3 linked regions of the Schizosaccharomyces pombe genome follow. The protein of the gene in region 2 purifies or fractionates together with the protein of the main gene of each other region. This does not show direct contact. Each region holds a gene or a part of one and is shown on either strand. Other genes may lie near its edges.

Region 1 (4,290 bases), 280 kb from region 2:
GAGGAAACACAAATTATTTTAGAATGACTGTAAAAATGAGATAGCCTTTCAACAGTACGTGTTGTCAGCAATACATTAAATGAAAATAACTGCTTCTTAAAAGTCAAAAGCCGCCTTATTTTTTACTTGATCACGACATGAAAATTGCTTTCATCTGTTTAATATAAATCAGCATTACGTTGTTGGTCATGATACGTTTGCATTTCTTGAAACGCATCCCACCATAGCTTGGATGTGTCTTCATCATAACCTAGACTTCCTTCTGGTTGCCAATGTTTTCCATGAACTGCTTTTAGATATGGTAAGTCATTTTTTCTAGCCCAAAGTCCGTTAAAAGTCCAATCAAGTGACTCCCATGGAAAAGCACCTGCTGAATTGTATGCAAAATTTAGCAAACTTTGCTCCATCATGTTTGCATTATCATACAATTTTGGAAACCTTGCTAATGCCATTAACCTTTTATAATGTGCCTTCAATGGCTTAAAGACGAATAGACCAGCATTAAAATAATCTTTAAAAGGAGGAGGAGTTTCATGCCACATACCTGGATCGGACACAGCAGCGAAAACGTAGGGATAAAGATCGTCTCTTGTCAGCCCGTAAGCTGCAAACTCTTCTGTAAAGCGTCTCCAAAAAATGCTGCGCCTAGGCTTGTAGAATAGGGTGGGAGGAAACAGAACAGAATCCTTACTATAGGAGAGTTGGTGAACATCAAAAACTTTGTCCATTTTTTTAATAGGCAAAATATCACTATCAAGAAAACATATTCTATCATATTCGTACATTTCGAAAACTCTCAACTTGGTAAACATCATACTCCATCGGGAATCCAGTAGGGCAATGTCATTGACATCGTCAACCACTTCATGAGCATATAGTGGATCGACTACTTTAACAATAGCTCCGTCTTCCTGCAATTGATCAAGCTTCCACTGATCAATTCCCTTCATGGCTAGCACTACAACGGGATACTTGCTTTTCGTAGGTTTAAATTTGACAAGTCGGTGAACGAGAAGCCTAGTTGAATTATAATACCAATCCTGTTGCGTATTTTCTACTTCGTTTTCCCCATTAGCGGCGCGTACAGTAAGCATAGTTACAAATGCCATCTTAGAAGAGGGCGCCAACCCTGTCAGTGTGTAAACTGACCTTTGTATTTCTGGACTATGATTGTATAGCAAAACACATTGCCAACCTAATAAAATAATGCTCAAGGTAATCAGTAAACACAGTCCTAGTCGTTTGGGATGGCGAAAAGCACTAAAATATAAACGCATTTTAATGGCAATTGATTGCCAAATTATAAAATGGTGGTGCTTTCGGAGAGAATTACTCTACATACTCCCTTAATGTTTGTTGGTGCATCATACACATTTTGCTTACTTTCAATACCAAAACAAACTCAACACCCTGAAAAACAAATAACATAATTAAATCGACTTTATAACGTAAAAACATCAAATGTTTAAAAATTAAACAAGCTTACTATTTTAACTATAAGAAATGTTAAGATACATGACTCTGACTTAAAATTTTCTCTTATTTAATAAGACGTTTAACCTAAACCAATTATAGTATAATACTAAATAGTTACCGACAAGCTAAGCTACTCAAACTATGTCGAAATGGGTGAATGACGAGATAAAGACAGTTGCTTCCACTGAGGGTTAACAGCCAGTGTGAAAAAAGGATAAAATAACGGTGACTTGAAAAAAGGGCTATCGAACAACTGTTAGAAATTGTCCGGATTTTTTAGGTTATAACAATTGCTTAGGGAAGCAAATTAAGACGGGAAGCAATATCCACTTGAGTACGTAAGGTATTTGCGAGATAAACTACAACCAAAACATCTTGAAGATGTGATGAAAAAATTTTTTCAAAATCTTGGCCTTCTACGCAAGGAATTAAACTAAAGCACTTCATCAAATATCTACCGACAGCAACATTAGCAGGCGAAGAACCATCAATTACGTTTTGCACATAATCGGAAACTCTTTCAATCATAGATAAAAGCTCCAAGGTTGATCTTCGAAGTTGCTGGAGATCTGTGAATAGGCTAGCAAGTCTAGATGGGTCATTCTTAGGAGCAGCTACAGCTTTCAAACCAGAACGGACTGCCTCGTCATCACGAATGGTAAAAGGGGTAGGGACGAATGCACAGCTGTCAGCAAGGCGCTCTGTAATACCTACTGGTGAAGAAACGTAAGTCTTGATGGCAAGGGGACTGCTAACATCTGTGTTGACAGTAAGGTGAACACAGGGATGAGGATACGTTCCTAGTGGAGCAGTTCCGGGTTCAGCAGGAGAAGCATATAAATTTTGAATCAGTGCACTGAAAGCATCTAAATCAGGAGAAGTAGCATACCAACCAACGACAACTTCACGAGGGTTAGCCTTGAGGTGTAAATGGTACATCGCACGATGATATTCCATTTCAACTTCTACCTGCTCACTGCTCTCATTATGAGGAACTGCAAAACAACTTTTAATCTCAATTTCTCGGCCATCTTCAGAACGTGTTCCCAAAAGTGTACCGATAACACGTTGATTATTTTCACTTTTCCGGGTTGAATGGTCAAGGATAGAAAAAAGCACTGCTGGTTCAATGACAATGTTCAAAGGACTTGACCTGGAAGACGGTTTTGTGAGATGGAGTACGTGCTTAGTCCCCAAAGCCATTTTTTAAAATTTTCACGTTGTTGGCTACTCTCAGGTAGGTAGATCTGGTATTGTTCCCCAATCAATAATAATTTTACTGTACTAGTTTACAGTCTCATAGAATTCGTTAAATTGAAGACACTATTTTTCGCCTAACTTCTAAGGTTTACCATTTAAGAAAGTGTATTTTCAGTTGCGTTGAATAATCTAAAAAATCTCCTTAACAATGTCTCATTTGTACGTACAATAATGAGAAACTCTTTATTCAAAATTCTATAACTATTTACATTTGTACATTCTCTGGTTAAAAATCATTTATATATATATACAATGTTCAAAAAATTCGGTTAGCAAAAAAGTGTAAACATAAAACCCAAAAAAGCAGTTTGCTTTTTCTTGACTAATAATGAACAGTAATTTAACTCATATCAGCAAAAACAGAGCACTCACGAACATGAATACCATAGGAAGTAGGAACCTTCGTTTCTTCATAAGCACTTTCTAGCTGAGAACCTCCACTAGAAGAAGTAGTATCAAACATATCTGGTTTCAAAAACAATTTGGTGAGACCAGGGTTATTAGAGGAATCAACCATGCGAATACGGAACTCGATAACTGGCTTTCTAATAGCAGCACTAGGACTAATCGCAAACTTGGCTAAAATTTTAAATCCAGACGAAGATATATTAATGTTCGAAAGATGTAGCTTAAGTTTACTAGTTTTCCTGCTAAATTCTCCGGCCGGAGAACTTTGACAGCTTTTTACAAGGACATTTTCCCCCAAGTAAACGATGATAACAAGTTTTTCAATATGAAGAGATGAGCCTAAGTTCCTCCACACAGGATTAGGCTTCACAAATGCAATCATACTACTACTGCTTTCATCATGCTTCCATTTCTGAACAACTGTCAATGGAATGCAACTAGCACCGTTAATACTATCAAGATGTAGATTAAAATCAGTGACTTTGATTGGTGAGAGAAGTAGCTCTGGTATTAAAGAAAGTGTGTTTTCTGAGGGTCCATATTTTACTGCATGGTCATTTAAATGAGTAAAAGACATAGGAAATTCAGACGCAACGCGAACACCCATTTCAGGAGGAGGGGTATTAAAATCCGAGGTATATTTCATGAATATATGACCGGAACAGGAAGGATGAAGAAGGCCATCTTCAGATAATTCACCAGAATACTTTTCGACGATTGAAGCAGAAAGCCCGGAAGAATTTGGGAACTCAGGGTGCCATGTTGCAGTCGAGTCTGGTCCCGATTGTAATGATAAAGTAGACAAATTGGGCAAGCTACCGAGGTTTGATTCCATATAGTCAGACGATGCTGTAGCATAACGATCCATTGTCCCAGCACGACGGGTCCTTCTTGATATAGTGGGATTCTTTCGTAAAGTATTTGCTACCCTTTCAATTGCAGCATTGCTATCCTCGTTTTCAGTAGGCGCAGGGGAAGCCACCGCTGATGTGGGAGACGTTGTTGTTGATCGTGATTGCATGTTGTTAAAGTTCCCACCAAAATCATTGCCATGCATCATGATAGGATTCGAATGTGATGCATTCTCTCTATCGATCGATGAAGGGGTATTTCTTGAGGCTTCAGAGTGCACAGAATTGGGTTTAT
Region 2 (7,070 bases):
ACACCATAGGTTTATATCCTTTATGTTGTACATCATAGGTTAGTGGATTAAACGTCTTTGAATTGTTTACTAATTTTTGCTAGGTTTTGTACTTTTCGTCGCTTCCCTGAAAAAAGGCAATTATAAGTTTCAGTTCAGTCAGTTCTGTTGGACTCATATGACTTTACTCTTAGTAGTTGGACAGTCCCATTTTATGATTAACAATCTGTTTGAAGGTTTATTTTGGTTCTTTGTCCCTGTTTGCTACGTTGTATGCAACGATGTTTTCGCGTATTTGTGTGGTAAGATGTTTGGCAAGCATCCGCTTATTCAAGTTTCCCCCAAGAAGACTGTCGAAGGTTTTTTAGGAGGATGGATTTGTACTGTAGTTATTGGTTCTCTTATCAGCTATGTTTTAATGCACTTCAAATATTTTATCTGTCCCACTCGTGACTTATCTACTTCTGCTTTCAGTGGTCTCAATTGCACTCCAAATTCTGTATTTCTTCCTCACACTTATACTATTCCAGCTGTTTTTGTCGATACCTTTAGACTTCCTGAAACAATTACTCTTGCTCCTATATATTTCCATTTGGCTATCTTCGCTACCTTTTCGAGTTTAATTGCCCCTTTCGGAGGATTCTTTGCTAGTGGTCTTAAGCGTGCTTTTAAAATTAAGGATTTTGGAGCTTCCATCCCGGGGCATGGTGGTTTAACTGACAGAATGGATTGCCAGTTTTTAAATGGAGTCTTCGTTTATATGTATTTCCAATCATTTATTGCAGAAAAGAGTACATCTGTTGCTGATTTATTGGATACAGCAGTTTATAGCCTCACGACCACTCAGCAAGTGCAACTTGTTGAAGATTTACAAAACTATCTCATCAGTCATGGCAAAACTAGTGTTCAAGCTATTTGTTCCAAACTTCTTCAAAACTCAAAATAGCTTACACTTTGTTATCCTCGTATTTGTTTACTAGCCAGTCTTTTATATTATTAAATGCGTTGTCATGTATAGTTTGACTTCCGTTTGTTAGTCATTCGTTATTGCTTGGAAGTTTTGATATCCCATGTCTAATTTTTAGTCAACTCCAAACTAGATCTAGTCGTTCGTTTGCTTTATATAATTTTCAGTTTTTCACCTTAAAAATTTTGTTTGACATTTTCCGAATTAGTTTTCATCAAAAACTTTTGTCATCAGGTTGGTTAAGTGAGCTAGCTTAATTCGCAAACGCTTAGAAAAGTTGATTATTGGACTAATCTCACGTCGGTTCTACTAAAAAACAGTTTCTTGTCTCAACACATACAGTTTTGTTTACCGCTAAAGAATTTCTTATTTTCAACATATTTGATACTTTCTTTAATATTTTAAATTATGCACAGCAATATATATTTTCATTAAATCACACTGTAGTAAATTCTGGTATATAGACCCACTGTAAAACTCTATTTTCTGAGAGTGGATAAGTACTACTGCATTTAAATAAGGAGCATCAGTAGAACAACGGCATCATAACAAAAAAAAAGATGGAAACAAAACATGCAAACCCCAATTTTTTGGGAAATTTTGTAAAAAAAAAAAGAAAAGAAAAATTGGCATCCCGCAAATACGAATTAAGTTAAATTAAGTATTATGTGCTTTTCATGATTTCCTCTTCAGCAGTTGCTTTTTCCAAATTGTATTGGGACTCATCTGCCATGCTATAACTATCATGAACTTCCTTTTCAACGTCCTTCTTCGTTAACGCATCATTACGCTTGAACTCAAGTTGATTTTGTTCATCTTCCATAGCATCATAGTGGTGGAAGCAAACCCAAAACATAATACCAGCAATAAAGGCAGTGACGGCAATACCAGTGTACATCCAAGTAAGCTTAGGATTGACAGCAGTAGAAGAAATGCAAATAGATAGAATGGCACCGAATGCATTGGTGAACAAGAACAAAGCAGTAATAATGGATTTCATTGAAGGAGGGGCCTTGGTAAATGCAAATTCTAAACCAGTAATACTGGCAAAAATTTCAGAGAAAGCAATCAAAACGTAAGCAGGGATTTGGATCCAAACACTGATGTCATTGGAAACACATGTATCAGTAAAATTTGCATAGCAAGGGCCTCTTTGATAAATCTTTGCTTGTAAAACAGCAGCGTAAATCATGGAAGCAGTAGCAAACATAAACCCTAAAGTAATACGAAGGATGGGTTTGAAAGGGATGTTATACTTACGCAATAATGGATAGATGATATTGTCACAAATGGGAATGAAAATAATCAAGGCGATTGAATCGAAGGCTTGGAAAAGATCGTTAGAGACATTACCCGTTTGCATTTGTCCAGCTTGAGAAATTAAGTTGTTGGTCATTTGACCATAGCATACCCAATAGATAGGGTAAAAGAGAAAAGTTTTGCAGGCGCGTAAGGCACGTTTCAATTCGTCGATAAACAAGTCATCCCACTGATCCTTGAGCGTAACGCGTCCAACAGTAGTAGTGCAAGATGGTTTAGTTTTTTCGAGATTAAATTTGTTTTGAGCAGCAAGGAAGAACACTTGACCAACACGAACAAAGATGGAACCGGAGGGAGGAGTGTGCTTGTAAAAGCGCTTACTAACAGCCAAAATAATTAAGGGGATAACAAAGACGCACAAGGGAAGCAAGTATGCGTAAACAAAACCTTTAGTACTTTCCAAACTAGTGGTGGCTAATACGGAGAGAGAACCGACGTTAATTGACCAGTAGAAAATCATATAGGCACGAGAGGTGGTGACGACGGGGTCAACAATGACCTTGCTACCATTTTTCTTGGTCTTTACATAAGGAGGAATTTTTGGAAGCTGTTCAGCCATCAAGGGGGAAACATTGGATTTGATACCACCGGTTCCAAGACCAATGATGATCAAAGAGACGACAAACCCACCCATACTTTTTCCGGCATCAATGACAGAAGGAATAGCAGTACATGTAAGAATCAAGATACCAATAAAGTAAATGACAGCAGAGCAAACAATGGTATTGTACCTACCAAGGAATTGATCAGCAATAAGTGCAGCGCCAACCGGGGTGACATAACACCAAAATGTGAAGAAATTAGAAAGACCGTCAGCACCGCTTTCGCCTAAATTAAGGGCACCTGGAGTAGCATCCTTAGGACCGAATTGCATATAATTTTGAAAGGGAACAGTGAGACCATAGTAAGCGAAACGTTCGCAAAGCTCGACAATAATGATAATAAAGGCTTTCCAAGGAATAGTACCGCAAACACGAGGAAGGGTGGCTAATTCTTCTTCGGTAGGAGAAGGGTATAAGTCACCATTGACGAGGACGCCGGTGGACATGGATTTTTGGAGTTCATCGGTGGAGGATTGTTCGTCAGCGGTGTTGATGGTGGCAGAACCATCAGCCTTTTTCTCCTTGCTTAAGTAGGATTGATCTTCTGAAATGATGAAATCGGAGTCCGATTTCGTAATTTGTTCTTCAATGCTACTCATTGTAAACACAGGTAAATTGAATGTAGGAAATCGATCGTATGAAAATCAAAAATAATAATAAAAAAGAGAATGAACAGAAGTTTCAAGAACAATTTTTGGGTATAAAATAATTACAATGAAACGAGAAAACAAAAGAGGCGAATATTAAAAAAAAAAAAAGAGGAAGAGAAAAATAACGTAAACAAGCGAAAGATTAAAAAACAATTGTAGTACAAAAGATAAAAAAAAGAATAGATCAAAAATAATAATAATAATAATTAGTCAAACTAATTACACAAAATTGACAAGTGAATTCACAAAAAAGTTAAAATAAACACTTTTATATGTGTATCGAAGGCCGACTAACTCAACTAAGAGTAAGAAATATGAAAGTGAGTGAGAGTGAGAAAGGGTATTTAAAACAAGATTAAATATACACAACAACAAATAAGTATTTATGACAATAATAATAAAAAAAGAAAAATTTTTAGAATGAAAAAATTTTTCCTTAATGTATTAAATAAATACTTGGAAATTAAAAGTGTATGTATGTGAAAGTGTGGAGAAAGTCACAACTCCAAACAAAAGAGGTCAAACGATTAATTATACGAACGATGAGGAGTTTCCACTCAAGGTTTTTGAATTTCTCTTACTTCTAAAACACAGACTAGACGGCACGACGAAGGATGTCTTTTGAGGGGATAATTTTCAAGTATAAATACTGCTGAAAATGAAATTTGTCCACACTGATTTAGCAGTCACCACGTGTTCATGCACGCCTTTATCAATGACGGTGAGCAAAGCACGATAGGCGATAGACAAATCGTAAATGTAGGAAACGTGGTATGAAAAAGTTTATTATCTTCCCTACAGATAAATCAAAAAAGAGGGAGGACCGGTCTAGACTGCACATTTTTAATAATTAAGGTCAATGCGTGAAAGGTGGGTTTGATGGTTGATTGGATAAATCAAATGTTATTTCGGACAAAAACGTTAGTGCGGAATATCTATTTGATTAAAAATGCACGAGGAGTAACCATATCGCACAACGTGTGACCTGTTGGAAAAAGGGGTGAAAATTGGTAAATCCGCTGGAAATAGATAAGCTTGGATTTCTTCGTGTGATGCCGTTTTTTTCATCTACTCCACTATCATGCGGAAGGATTGCGCACTTGTTCAGTTGCGTGTTTTTGCTTAACGATAGAAAAAACTCGTGTACCTCCATTTAGGACTTTTGTGCCACCACATCGCATGGTTGAAGTGGAAAGTCGTACTTGACCGAAAAAGTGGGGATGAAATTGGGTACCAAGTGGGGTGCATGGAATTAAATGGTCAAGAGCACAACGTGCAGAGCATATGGAAAAAACGAGTAGCACGTTATAGTGCCAAAAATAGAAGTTTCACTACAGGAGTGAGAATGAGAGTGAGGAGAGGTATAGAAAGAATGTGAGACAATATAGTTAGTATATGTGAAAGTGAGAGTAAAAGGTATAAGTGTTACTATATGAGTATGGATGAGGATGAGGGAAAAGGTAGAAAAGAGATGACTGTCTATGTATTGTCATACATATTGTTATTTACAAACACATCCTCTACGTTTCTTATTCTCTCACGACGACATACAGGTGAACGAAGTTTTTCAATAATTTTAGAGGTTTGAGGGTTGAGTTGTATTCATTGCTTACTTGTAGTTTGCTCATTAATAATAATTACATATTTGTTAGATTCTTAATACTTTGCATATTTATTAAATTTATGTAATCGTTTGATGAGTGTTACATTGTTGTTTTTATTTATTTATTTAACCGTTGAATTCATTCCTTCTTCTCGACATCGGCCTTTACACCACGTTCGCGTGTCTCTTCTCTCTTGTTTCCTTCCCCGGGTATTCCGCGATTAGCGCTGGCGATTCACCAAGGTAAAACTATGTATGCGAATGGTGAGTGGTCTGCTGTAGCACGGTGTGTGCACGAGGAAACAAGGTCTTCTCTTTAAGAACCTCGAACCCGGTAAACATCGTGGGTGGCAGAGATAGTAAAAGCGACTAGTTCGCCTACCCCCACATGAATTGTCGCAAAGATGATGAGGGACGACAACAAGTAGGTAAGGTAAAGTAAAGTAAGAAAGGAAGAATAGTGATAGCATTAATAGTAGTGGGTATAACTGTCACGGAAATGAACATATCACACTCCAAAACGGACTTGTTGGTGTATGAGCAATTTTTCGCACCCATTTTCCCTCATTTTGCCAAATGAAACCATAATGCTGCAAGATTGCTGAAAGTATCGGGAAAGCCTAGTAAGAAATGGTCCAACTCGTTATGCAGCGATACCCTACCCTCCGTCAAGCAAACGAGATGGTTGTGTAAGGCGAGGCACAAGACTTCAAAAAGTATGCAAATTAGCAACAGATAGTATACCCTAAATTCCAAACGATATCTTCTATCACAGAATCAGATTTCTTATAGTAAGTTCATGATAACTTTGAAGAAACTTGAGTTTGATAGCATTAGTAAATAAATCCCCAATAACGAAGGAGTATGCAATGTCACATCGATATCTATGCTTCTAGCATTGCTGATTCTGACTTGACTTTTCTATCTCGTCGTCGGTGCACAAGTTGATACTACTTTGGCAGATGTTTCTCCTTTGAATTTATGAACTTTTAAACAAATTGCTTTTTGTTTCTATGCCCATTCCTTATCAATTGAAAAGGAGAGAGGAGAGAAAAGGAAAAAAAAAATTTGACCTCTTTTTGGTTTTTTGGTTTTTTTTTTTTTTTTTCGCTCTCTAAAACTTATCTACCACACCTCTTCGTCATGTAATTTGAACTATACTTTTCACGTTAAAAACCTTTTCCCCCTTTGATTCCGTCGAAAGTTTCACGGAACCAATGTTTCCAGTGTTTTCATAGAGTTAACAATGCATGTTTACCTACTAGTTGGAAAAAATTCGCAACACTTGTTACTAAGTGCTATAAACTGAACATTGCATTTTTCTATATTTTTTGCATGTTAATTATTTATTTCATTGAGCCGTCCATAATGCTTGTTTTCTTTGCGCCTACTTAACATCAAGTCGTTCTCGTCTTATCAATTGATCCTTCTGCTAATAGATTTTTTAAAGTAACAAACGTCTATAGAGACGCGCATTATGAAGTCCAACAAGTATCGCTAGTTTAATGATAAGTAAGGAAGGGTTTCATTTACGAATTGTCTTCTTTCAAACATAGGTTACTGTTTCCTTCTTTGATATTCGGGTACCTGCATATCACCCATATGTATTTCCTATTTCCGTTGATAAAATGTCATATCACTTAATTTTCTCTTCTCGTCATTTTTTATTCCGACCCTTGTTTTTATCGAACATTCGTTAAATCTATAGATAAACTCCAACGACCGCGTATTGTGTTGGGCAAATTTGCTTAACCCCTTGCTCTGTCTCTTCCGACTTCTTCTTTCCTTCTCTATCCATCCTATCTTACTATCATATCATTGAAATGTCTCGTGTCCGTGTAGGCGAGAATGACGGACGGACATCCTCAGATCAGATATAGAGTCCATCTCTTACGGAATACTTTAATAATGTAATAACGTGTAACTTAATGGTTGTTTACTAGTTATAG
Region 3 (4,891 bases), 450 kb from region 2:
TTGGCTTCCAGGAAGCCATGAAGTTGATTCAGGCGAAGCCGTTGGAAGATTTAGCAAATTGGGAGGCTGTATTGAAGGTGACGGCTCAACTGGTCTAGCTGGAGCATTTTGAGAGGGCAAGTTACTAGTTGGCAAGTCTGTGGAAGTACTATTCGTCATACTACCAGAATTAGAGGTAAGATTCGAAGTCATAGGTTCATTAGAGGAAGGGCGATCAGGCATAGATGAAAAGAAAGCATTAAATAAGGACGTAAGCGTCGAAGGACGAGAATCCGAAGGAGTAGTCTCTTGTCTAGAGCTAGCATTTTCGGCATCAATAGAGGCACCTTCTCCTGCTAAGGGCTCACTACGAGTAGTAGGTGTTGAGGTGTTTGAGTCAGGGTTTTCAGGGTGAGTATTTTCAACAGGGGTATTGGTGGCAGATCGATTTGGAGCTAGAATAAAACGTATTCGGTTAAAAGCAATGCGATGCAGTTGCCGAGCTGGTTCGTCTACGCCGGTTCGACCATCAGTGTTTGCATTGTTAAGCTCCTCAGATGGATGAAAGTCGGAATGAACACCATTTGATGCATTTTCTTGAGAAACCGCGGTGTTGCCTTGGTTGCCACGAAGCGTATGTGAGTGTGGAATGATAAATAAAATAGGAGGATGAGCTGAACCTACTGTTTCGTGGGGAACCTCTTTTCTACAAAGAGGACATGTACAATGATTTTCAAGCCATTTTTGTAAACAATTTTTACCGAATATGTGGCCACATGGCATCTTGGTAGCCTGCTTTTCATCATTTTCATTCATATCATCGTAACAGATCGGACAAGTCAAATCCATCAGTTGGTCATTAGACAAAGGTTCGAAAGAATCCCAGGCTTCTTTTACAGCGCGTTTTACGGGTGGTTGAAAGGGATTGGCAAACGGATCATTTTCTCCACCCTCGAAATTGGCTTGAGGAGTTATGATAAACATTGTACCAATTGAAAAAGCAACTGGTTGAGTCCCCGTGGTAGGGTGGGTACCTTCTTCACCCTCAGTTGCTTCACTGTTTGGATTACGATTCAAATAGTCATCATGCCCTTCAGATGATTGTCTCTCGTTTGATGATGCATGAGAATTATTCTCATTTGTATTGGAATCCATTTAAAACAGATAATTGTAACAGGAGATTCTATACAAAAAACTAGTACCTCAGTGGTCTAATAATAAAACCAAAAAAAAGAAATAAAACGACCACAATAAAGTCGAATCTAAATAAATAAAGCAGTACTCAAAATAAAAACAACAAATAAGACAAAGGAAATATTTGTAGGAGACTTATTATATACAAAGGAGGAATATGGTAAAATATGATTGCTGCGGTAATAAAAAAACAGGAATCAAAAATTTAATGGTAAGGAAAATGTAACATTCTCCATCGGGGTTTTCTGGCCACTGAATATTTCAATATTTATTTAGGCAAGCAAAAAAAAAAGTAAATAGAAAATAAAAGACGTTATAGAATGTTATAAAGTGCACCTTTCCACTTAAACTATCTTTTAAGGTGCAAAATGTGGTGTTGAACAAAATAGAAAACCAGGGACTTCCATTATATATTGCCAATAGAGACAGTGAACATGTGGGCGTTCATTAGGACATTCAATACCTTAATATTTTTAAGGAGTTATAAAAGGTTCTCCTTATTTGATAGTTGGGAGGTTTGTTGACATAAAGCATATGAAAACCGAAATTCTGCGAATCGTGTAAGAAACCGCATATCCTTGAATTTATAATTGACATTTAAGCTAATGCTTTATATATGTACTAAAAAAATGATATGCTCTTTAGTAAAGGAATCATCTAAATACATATTTTGCCATTTAAAATATGTATATTAGAAACTAACAATTACATATTCTTTCCGCTTTTATTATGCTGTTATAAGAACTTCGTTTCAATATATGTTCATCACTAATAAGAAAGTATTAAATTTTAAGTTCACAGCAAACACACGCAGGAACATAGTTGTCGAAATAAAAAGTAGCACCAAACTTTGAAGTTTCGTTCATCGGTATCTTATTAAGCACTCCATGCGTAAATATTTGAAGTCTAACTAAGAATGTTATCAATGGAAAAATAAATGTAGTGGGTTTCAAAAGATCTCAGTTGGCCTTCATGAAACTTTGTGTGATAGTATTAACCATAAAAGAATGTATGAATAAAAGAACGTAATGTGCACCTAAAAATAACCATTGGGCTCTATTCAAATATTCAATCAGAAAAGAAGATATATGCTTGAAAGTAACAGTATGGGAGGTTATATAAACTCATACTAAAATACAGGATCCGTCATACAGTCTTTTGGCTTTTGTATTATAAAAATACGTAATCAGTTGATGCTTAAGGATTCAAATTGACGCTCTGTCATTTCAAAGTTGGGAAGTAAAAACACAATATCGTTCCAGCGCTTTCGTCAATTTAATTAACAAGCAAATCGTTAAGCCAGAATCCCATGAAATTAGCTTTTTCATATACAATGAGCTTAAAATGCAATGTAGTTCGAAAAATTATTTACAGAATTTGAAAGAGCTTTAACCAATAAATCTCTTGATAAAAGCCCTAGATAAAAATCTGGAAACAAATCCAGAAGAATTGGAATCTGCAAGTTCTGTAGCCCAACGACGCTTCGCGTCTTTGTCACAACGACTGTAAGCAGCGGTGTTAACACTTGTCAGTCCAATTGCGACAGCAACGAGTGCAAGCCAGAGAAATTCAAATCGAATTATAGCTACAATCCCCAATATGATCCAAATAAATGGATATAGATAGAGAGCGTACCAAAACGTCTTCTGATCAACGGCGTTTCTGGGACGACTGGGATCTGCCGATTCGAAAATCCAAATGCTTTCACCATCAACTCCAGTTTCATTTCTCCATCTCAAACCAACTAGTAAACGACCAGAGACGTTTTTAACAGTCCAAAGATCAACAGCTAGCAAAGTGAAAATTACAATAAACAACAACATACTATTTTTATTTGTTTAGCTCAATTTCTTTTTCTTTTAAATTTCTGCTATTAAAAACTTACAAACTTGAGGTAAAGAACATGCCCAATATGTATGCCACAATTGCACCGGTACGAAATAAAAGAAAGAAGAAAAGAGCTACAGGATGCGAAGACATTTGAAACATCTGCGGTAGCCTACTAGCATTCCTTTCCTGCTCGGCAATTGTCTCCGTATTTTGATAGTCCATTTTCGTCAACGTGATATGGTTATCAACGTAAAGGTTTCGATCCAAAGAGGTGAACATCTCAGCAGGGGTTTGACAGTATGCGAATAAGGAACCTTAACGAAGATTCTTATTGTGTAGCAAGCCTGGTTTTCTAAAAGATCGTATTCGAAAGTGAATGTTTAGTTGTTAATTTAAGTTTTATAATATTCTTCTAACGAAAATGTTTATTAAATTTTTTTAAAACTGTAATGCATATAATATCCAAAGTATGAATCTGACTGCCTGTCTGTTTAATTTTGTTAATGCCTATCATCTAAGCATTTGAAGTAAATTAAATTTTTCTGTAATACTGAATTCCTAATTTTATTAACAAAATCCAAAAAGCATTTTAGACAAGAAGTAACAAAAACCTCAAGAAGACAACTTGATAAATTTTTGGTAGCTTTTGGCTTTTCATATTTAAATTTATAAAACCTCAGTGCCCTAACCGCATTTCTGCATTCGAGTAATGAACAAGTGCTTTAAAGAATGTTAGGTAATTTGTTGTATATAAAATAGGATCATGAAATATTTCACATAATCTAAGCTGCCAAGGTGGAAATCCTTGCAACTTAAGCAGAGGAGCAAATATGATTAGTAAGTCTGGTTCAGGTATTACGCTCTCCTTCAATTCTTTATCAATCAATTCCAGTGTAACTTGGGTGCTACTGATAACTTTTTTAGTACATAAATCCGCTAAACCTCTAGTTAAATCGATGATAGCATCTCGACCATCTTCTTTCGCTATAAGATGAACCTTTAAATCGACACAGTCATTTTGATTTTTTTCATCAGGAGAGCAAGGATTAGTTACATGGACGGTACACTTGTCACCTCCAAGATAGAATGGCAGGTGAGAGTAAATAGCTTTTTCAACAGCTTCGGGAGATTGCTTTAAAAACCCTAAAATCTGTTAATAAATGTAATCAAATAGTAATGGAATTTCAAAACTTCAACTGCAATTATATACCTTTACGTTCATAAATCGTAAGTTCGCGAATATTAGAACAAACACACCAAGCAGATAATTCACAAGCATCATGAATAAGGCCCTCTATACCTCCATCTTCTACACACTCAATAATAACGGCGATGTGTTTTGGTTTCTTCTTTAATTTTTTCGTATCGCGTCTTATAAGATCTCTACTACAATGGTGATGATACAAAAAATTCAGTAAATAACTGCATGTCCAAAAAACCCAATTTTTTGCCCAATCCCAGGCACCATAAACGCTTTGTATAACCCATAAAGCTAAATAAAAGAAAATATCATCATACATGTTTGTGAACACTGGTTGTCAGAATTCGAACCTATTTAATTTAGGTTGAACTCTGTAGTTTTTTTATATTTAGGGGTATAAATTGGATTTTAAATATGAACAAACAAACTTTTTAAGTTTGAAACTTCCTAGGAACAATTTACAGCTATGAGAAGACAACTGGCGATGTTTATGAACTGCAGGCTGCAATGTTGGGTGGTGTGCTGAGGTACTTTGTGATACCAACACGAACAATGAAAGCTGCTCTTTCTGAAAAAATCGATGTATCGAAGTTTTATCTTTTTTTGTTATAGGGTATTTTTTAAAGTTAACTCTAGATAATTCGTACAAATGATATACAGTGTCTAGCCGTATGGAATCAATACCTT

The links. Proteins that work in one complex are often made in the same cells at the same time.
Region 1: the proteins of ptr2 (region 2) and tif306 purify together in Schizosaccharomyces pombe (co-purification; one study listed by BioGRID). This does not show direct contact.
Region 3: the proteins of ptr2 (region 2) and tvp23 purify together in Schizosaccharomyces pombe (co-purification; one study listed by BioGRID). This does not show direct contact.

What each region holds. Positions count from the first base shown.
Region 1 is NC_003423.3:3,121,128-3,125,417, forward strand, and holds tif306 (translation initiation factor eIF3f), read right to left. Parts: upstream 2,712-4,290; 5' UTR 2,680-2,711; coding exon 1,771-2,679; 3' UTR 1,523-1,770; downstream 1-1,522. Other genes in the region: alpha-1,3-galactosyltransferase Otg2, read right to left, coding at 159-1,277; cytoskeletal protein Syp1, read right to left, coding at 3,077-4,290.
Region 2 is NC_003423.3:3,404,226-3,411,295, forward strand, and holds ptr2 (PTR family peptide transporter), read right to left. Parts: upstream 4,135-7,070; 5' UTR 3,468-4,134; coding exon 1,611-3,467; 3' UTR 1,350-1,610; downstream 1-1,349. Other genes in the region: bbl1 (phosphatidate cytidylyltransferase), read left to right, coding at 1-38, 84-925. UniProt on the Schizosaccharomyces pombe protein: Uptake of small peptides.
Region 3 is NC_003423.3:2,953,908-2,958,798, forward strand, and holds tvp23 (putative transport protein Tvp23), read right to left. Parts: upstream 3,269-4,891; 5' UTR 3,226-3,268; coding exon 3,059-3,225; exon of another isoform or gene 2,998-3,058; coding exon 2,562-2,997; 3' UTR 1,523-2,561; downstream 1-1,522. Other genes in the region: san1 (RING finger protein), read right to left, coding at 1-1,134; nus1 (ditrans,polycis-decaprenylcistransferase), read right to left, coding at 3,680-4,146, 4,214-4,523. UniProt on the Schizosaccharomyces pombe protein: Golgi membrane protein involved in vesicular trafficking.